Saccharomyces cerevisiae S288C: one gene and its partner. The protein of the gene in region 2 binds, or shares a complex with, the protein of the main gene of each other region. Each region holds a gene or a part of one and is shown on either strand. Other genes may lie near its edges. A codon is read from its position in the direction of its gene.

What was found.
Region 1: the proteins of FUN12 (region 2) and TIF11 are in contact, whole or in part, in a crystal structure (PDB 3WBK), measured with the Saccharomyces cerevisiae proteins. Residues at the interface, in NP_009365.1 of Saccharomyces cerevisiae: Arg969, Asp973, Lys976, Phe980, Trp989, Leu990, Lys993, Lys996, Glu1002; in NP_013987.1 of Saccharomyces cerevisiae: Asp145 (codon at 859), Leu148 (codon at 850), Ile150 (codon at 844), Ile153 (codon at 835).

Annotation. Positions count from the first base shown.
Region 1 is NC_001145.3:788,549-791,839, forward strand, and holds TIF11 (translation initiation complex factor eIF1A), read right to left. Parts: upstream 1,292-3,291; coding exon 830-1,291; downstream 1-829. Other genes in the region: tRNA methylation protein TRM732, read right to left, coding at 1-335; TPS3 (trehalose 6-phosphate synthase/phosphatase complex subunit), read right to left, coding at 1,657-3,291.
Region 2 is NC_001133.9:74,166-78,094, reverse strand, and holds the start of FUN12 (translation initiation factor eIF5B), read right to left. Parts: upstream 1,669-3,929; coding exon 1-1,668. Other genes in the region: GTP-binding protein RBG1, read left to right, coding at 1,943-3,052; YAL037W (uncharacterized protein), read right to left, coding at 3,272-3,929. UniProt on the Saccharomyces cerevisiae protein: Plays a role in translation initiation. Translational GTPase that catalyzes the joining of the 40S and 60S subunits to form the 80S initiation complex with the initiator methionine-tRNA in the P-site base paired to the start codon.

The DNA of each region.
Region 1 (3,291 bases), on a different chromosome or scaffold from region 2:
TATTCAAAGATAATATTTGCATTCGCTTCAGTTAAGAGTTGCTCTTTTACCGCCGATAAAAATTCTTGAGAGTCAATTTTTTTGCTTGCAATTATTTGATGGCTCCTTAGTAAACAGATCGAAAAGGTATCTGGAAAAATTAACCTTGTGGACTCATTTAAGTTCGGTAATCCGTCCTTGATATACTGTATTAAATACCTGAAATCATGCTCAATCTGAGTTAAAACAGCATCCTTATTTTCATTGTTGATCTTTGCTGGATTATTAGCAATCAAGAATTCTTTGACACGGAAAAGCTCGATTTCCTGACTTGAAAATTGCACATCCGTAGTCATTTTTTGAAACTTTCAGTATGAAGTAATGTGTACCTCGGGAAGCTCACAATAGTATTGTCATTTTCCTGCGATGAGCATTTTCTGGTAAAAATTTATTTTAACTTTTCATTTTCTTTTCAGTCTAAAAAAGTAAATTTTCGATGGAAAAAACGGAAGCACTCATGAGTGACAATAAACAGCATCGAAAGAAAAGGTAATAAATTAAAAACGATGAATGGATAAAACGTATTCGCAACGTGCTCTTTGCTCAAATTTCTCGTGCGAGAAAATTTTTATTACGTCTCCTTAACGTCCGCTTGAAAGAAACCCTAGAAGGAAGATTAAACGACTTCTTGAGGTATTTCATTTTTATTCTTTTTTTGATATCTATATATAAGTATTTCGATATAGTAAAAAGAAAACCCTTTCCTATGATGGACTAAAAAATATAATTATAAATAAATTATGAATAGTTGACGCATTAGAAGATATTGAGGACACTTGTTCGGCCTAAATTAAATGTCATCAATATCAAGTTCTTCATCTTCACCTTCCTCATCATCTTCATCAGCGTTACCAAATTCAAAGTTAACGTCTTCATCAGATTCGAAACCAAAGTTGTCTGTTTCATTAATTTTGGCGTTTTCAGGAAGTTCACCTTGGTTTTTCAGTGTTCTGGCTTCATCTAAATTATATTTGTGGACAACATCACATTGGTCATCTTGGAAATCTCTTAAGGAAACAAGAATAATATCACCTTGTCCCATCCAGACTTTCTTTCTTAACTTACCTCTAATATGGGCCATTCTCTTATTACCATCAAAGCAACTGGCTTCGACTCTTCCATTACCCAACATCTTGGTGATTTGAGCATATTCTTGGCCTTCTTCCTTATAAATAAGTTCACGCTTTGGACCGTCAGAGTCGTTCTTACCTCTTCTACCTTTTTTACCACCTTTAGTGTTTTTCTTACCCATGATGAACTTTGCTCTATATTACACTAGTGCTTTTGCAAGTACACCTTCTACATAAGTAAAGGTTTCTTTCAGCAAACTAAAATTGAAGCTTTTTTCAATTTTTCACTATTACTTCTTGCGGCGAAAACAAAAATGAAAAAAAAGTGAAAAATAGCGTTCGTGTATAATGATTATTATAAGATCTCATTAACAATATGAGAAATAACCCACATTGTTAGTTGAAACTTGTTTGTAATTTATCGTGCTGTATATACATATATACGTAAAAGGAAGATCGTACTTTTATATTTATAATCGCTCGTAAAAACTATAACTGAAGAATAAGAAAGAGAACATTTTGAAAGTACAGGAGGGAAAATGATCGCTTAGGCGGCTGTCAAGTCATGAAGGATGGTAAAAAGTTCATTGACACCATTGATATGTTCCTTGGCATAAGTGGATCTTGAGCTACCGTAAAGAATGGTGTAACCAAATTTTAGATTGTTCTTTTCAACCTCTTGCTTCACTAATTTAAATAATGGTTCAATAATAGGTGATGTCGAACCGGAAACGCAAACGAAATCTACCTGGTTTTGGAAATGCTTCTTATTATTACCGACGGACATCGAAGAGGATGTTCTTGATAGAGATATTCTGCTATTGTCAGTAGGACTGACGCCACTGTTGTAAAATTTCATCAAAAACTCAGCGGCGGCTAAGGCTAGCCCCGTTTGTTGAACGAAGACAATATCCTTATGCACATAAGCGTGAATATCCCTGTCATCAAATAAGGTGTTTATGTGCGTAATGGCTTCCCCAATAACAGTTGGGACTCGATCTTGATCATCAGCGTTTTCTGTATGGAATCTGATCATAGAATCAGCGATTTTGTAGTATGAACCAGGTAACCTCTCGACTTTCTCGTCAAAGATCTTTGCCACCTCTTTCATCCAATCAAGCTCTTCCACGATGTTGTACCACGACCCATTAACTCTTACGTAGGCACCATTCTCCGCTATCAATCCGATGTTTAGAACACCATTGTATAAGCTTTCGAATGTATTCTTTGTAAATGAACTCAAAACGTAAACTATATTATTTGAACTCAATTCACTTAGCAAGGATAGCATTCTGGACGTTGGAGGTTCTGAAATCTTGAAGATAAATAAATGCTTTTTGGAGGCTTTGTAATCAGCACAGAATTTTTCTGGAGCCAAATTGAAAACAGTAGACGTTTCTTGGTTGGACTCCCAAGCATTATTTATGTATTCGAAGCACTTTGTAATCCAATTATCCGAATCATGTTCAATAACAGATTTGAATAATTTTTTCCACCTACGCCTTTTTTCTTCTGGAGACATTTCTAAACTTCTCTTGATACTTTGTGCTACATGATTTATATCCCATGGGTTTATTAAGATGGCACCTTCCTTTAGGACAGAAGAACTACCAGTGAATTCAGATAATAATAGAGGCGCATTTTTTTCGAATGAACTGACAATGAACTCATGACATGTTAAATTCATACCTTCTCTCAGCGCATCCACAAGGAAAACGTCAGCTTCACAATTCAATGCCAAATATTGAGCAAAATCTAAATCTTGATGCAAAAAGACCACTGGTTGAGAGATACTGATGTTCGAAGACAAAGAATTGATTCTATCAACGACAACCATAATTTGACGTTCGTACTCAGGATCGGAACTCTTACCGATGCAGATTTGGATCAAAACAACTTTTTCGATGTATTCAGGGTTTTCTATCAAAAACCTCTCGTAGGCTAACATTTTTTTCTGAAGACCTCTAATTCTGTCAAATTGATCGCGACAAACAATCAGTTTTTTATTACGCCATCTTTCTTTAATTAATTGGCGCCATTCAAGTACAGAACCATTTCTCAACTGCGATGTCAAATGGTAATAATCAATACCAATTGGCGCATACATCACGGAAACAATATTGCAATGGTATTTGACTTCATCATTAGAGACATCCGCAGCAAGCAATCTGTTACAAGTTTG
Region 2 (3,929 bases):
AGCTCTTGATTGCTTTGCAAAGGAGTCTCTGAATGAATTGTTTGGAATGGCTTTCCAGTCATATAATCTATCAATTTTGTTTAGGGCAACGACAAATGGAGCCTTTCTATCTCTTAACAGTTTGATAGATTCAATAGTCTGTTGTTCCAAACCATGCATAATGTCAATAACCAAAATTGCGATGTTACACAATGAAGAACCTCTTGAACGTAAGTTAGAGAAGGATTCGTGACCTGGGGTATCAATAACCAAAAGACCTGGGACATCAAAAGTTTGTTTTTCATATTCAGCCATAACTTTAGTTTTTGCCTTAATAGCGTCGATGGGGAAATAAGTGGCACCAATCTGTTGGGTGATGCCACCAGCTTCACCACCTTGAACGTTGGTTTGTCTGATTTTGTCTAACAATTTAGTCTTACCGGTATCGACATGACCCAAAATACAACAAATTGGGGAACGAAGATCTTTTTTGTTTGGAGAAGCGCTGGATGGAGTTGGAGTAGCTGCTGGTGTAGCTGCTGGTGTGCTTTTGGCAACTTCATGCACATGTGCTCTTTCTTCTTCTTCTTCTTCTTCTTCTTCTCCTTCTTCTTCTTCTTCGCCTTGATTTTGGTCTTCATTTTCATGGCTTGCGGTGGATTCTTGCGTTTCTTCGTTGGTTCCCTCCTCGTCATCATCACCAAGAGCCAAATTTTCCCAATCATCAATCAAAACATCTTCGGATTCTTTGAGTTCGTCATCAGGTACAACTTCCGAGTCTTTCTTAGAGTCAGATTTAATGGCTTCGGAGGCGTTTTCCTGGGTTGTTCTCTTCTTCTTCTTGCTGTAAACAACCTTCTTTGGTTTGTTTTCTTCTCCATCCTTCTTGGCCAGACCGGCAACTTTGACGTTACCGGAAGACAATAAAGCGGCACGTCTTCTTTCCAATAATTTCTTTTCTTCTTTTTGCTTTCTGGTCAATAGCTTACCTTCAGCCTTTCGTTTTTCACGCTTTGCCTTCTCCTTTTCCTTTTTAGCTGCTTTAGCTTCTTCCTTCATTTTTTCTTCGTTGGCCAATCTTTCCTCCTCTTCTTTCTCCAATCTTTCTTCTTCCTCTCTTTCCAACTTTTCTTGTTCTTCAAGTTGTTTCTTCAATTCTAATTGACGTCTCAAAGCAGCCAAACCGGCAGGTACTTTCTTGGCTGGCTTCTTAGCACTAGCACTTGGTTTATCACTTTCACCTTTAGATTTTTGGGATTTCTCAGCAGCAGCCTTCTCAGCAGCAGCTTTTTCAACATTTTGCTTGTTCAACTCCTTGTTCTTCTCCTTTTGAGCTTGCTGTTGGGCCTTCTTCCTGGCAGCTTGTTCTTTCTTCTTCTGCTTCTCCTTTTCCTTTTTTTCCTTCTCCTTTTCCTTCTTGGACTTTAGTATAGGCTTACCATCCTTCTTCTCTTCAATAACCTTCTTTTCTTGCTTCTTCTTCGATTGCTTCAAAGTAGACATGAAGTCGCCTTCAATGGCCTCAGCACCTTCAGCACTTGCACTTGCTTCTCTGGAAGTGTCATCTGCACCTGCGCTGCTTTCTGGATTTGGAGTTGGCGTGGCACTGATTTCTTCGTTCTGGGCGGCGTCTTCTTCGAATTCCTCATCCCAGTAGTTCTGTTGGTTCTTTTTACTCTTTTTCGCCATCTTTCACTTATCTGATGTTCCTGATTGCCCTTCTTATCCCCTCAAAGTTCACCTTTGCCACTTATTCTAGTGCAAGATCTCTTGCTTTCAATGGGCTTAAAGCTTGAAAAATTTTTTCACATCACAAGCGACGAGGGCCCGTTTTTTTCATCGATGAGCTATAAGAGTTTTCCACTTTTAAGATGGGATATTACGGTGTGATGAGGGCGCAATGATAGGAAGTGTTTGAAGCTAGATGCAGTAGGTGCAAGCGTAGAGTTGTTGATTGAGCAAAATGTCTACTACAGTTGAAAAAATCAAAGCTATCGAAGATGAAATGGCCCGTACCCAAAAGAACAAGGCCACATCTTTCCATTTGGGTCAACTGAAGGCCAAGCTGGCCAAACTGAGAAGAGAATTGTTGACCAGTGCTTCATCCGGCAGCGGTGGTGGTGCTGGTATTGGTTTTGATGTGGCTAGAACTGGTGTGGCCAGTGTGGGGTTTGTCGGGTTCCCGTCGGTGGGGAAATCTACATTACTGTCCAAGTTGACTGGTACTGAGTCTGAAGCAGCTGAGTACGAGTTTACCACCCTGGTTACCGTCCCCGGTGTCATTCGTTATAAAGGTGCCAAGATCCAAATGTTGGATTTACCTGGTATTATCGATGGTGCTAAGGATGGTAGAGGTAGAGGTAAGCAAGTTATTGCCGTGGCAAGAACCTGTAACCTGTTATTTATCATCCTAGATGTGAACAAACCCTTGCATCATAAGCAAATCATTGAGAAGGAACTGGAAGGTGTGGGGATTCGTCTGAATAAAACTCCGCCAGATATCTTGATCAAAAAAAAAGAGAAAGGTGGTATTTCCATCACAAACACAGTCCCATTGACCCATCTGGGGAATGACGAAATCAGAGCCGTTATGAGCGAGTACAGAATAAATAGCGCTGAGATTGCCTTCAGGTGTGATGCCACTGTGGATGATTTGATTGATGTTTTGGAAGCTTCGTCAAGAAGATACATGCCTGCCATCTATGTGTTAAACAAGATTGATTCTCTGTCAATAGAGGAATTGGAATTACTTTACCGAATTCCTAATGCCGTGCCTATTTCGTCTGGTCAAGATTGGAACTTGGACGAGCTGTTGCAAGTCATGTGGGATAGACTAAATCTAGTCCGTATTTACACTAAACCAAAGGGCCAAATACCAGATTTTACCGACCCTGTGGTGCTAAGATCAGACCGTTGCAGTGTCAAGGATTTTTGTAACCAAATTCATAAATCTTTAGTGGACGACTTTAGAAATGCTCTGGTTTACGGTAGCAGTGTCAAACATCAACCTCAATACGTGGGGTTGAGTCACATTTTGGAAGACGAAGATGTTGTTACCATCTTGAAAAAGTGATTCTCGAACAAAAAATAATATAAGAAATGAAAAAAAAAAAAAATAATTCATAATTGAATATACAAGCATTTGTATTCGAAAAGGGGGTATCGGTTATTTTTTTTCGCTGTTTTTCTTCCACCGTTTGAGTATAGAGCATCTATAACATTTAATTATCTCTACATAATGAATAAAAAAAACAGTCGTAATAATTAAAAATGTTATGCTACCGAGGGCTCTTCAAAAGCGACCTCGCTTTGTGGTACCCATAAGCATTCTGTTATCGATCGTAGAGTTTTCTGGTAAATTGACACATCTCCTCTTGACTGAGCTCGTCTGCCTACGTTTTAGAATTTCCTGGGTTTGGCCAAACTCCCACAGTTCTTTATCATTCAGAATATCGAACTCATCGGATGTACTGATGGATATGTTCAGGGTTGCTTTCATATATTGCAAAGAATCCTGGATGGTCACTAGTGGATAGTAGGTCATCACCCTGGAAATAAGAAATTTGAGAAGTGCGCAATCATAGGAATGTGATGATATAACCAAGATATTTCCAAAATGACTAAATGACTTAAAGAGTGCCAACAGATCGTTGAATGCCTGGTACTGTACCAAGGGCTCACCACTGAGGACATTCGAATTACAAAACTGGGGCAGTGATTGGATTGTATCGGTTTGTGCCTGTGTTAAAGATGTTTTTATCTTTTTGCCCATCTGCAAGTACTGTCCAACGAATTTCTGTAGTAGTATTGTATTGTTTCGTATATACAAATCAATTGCGGCCTTCTTTGTTGCTACTGCTGCTGTAGTTGGTGAGCAAAGATTCACGACTACCGAATTAGAGTTCCTGAAATACTGGGTATAAAACGACGCTATCTTTTCAGTACTTAGA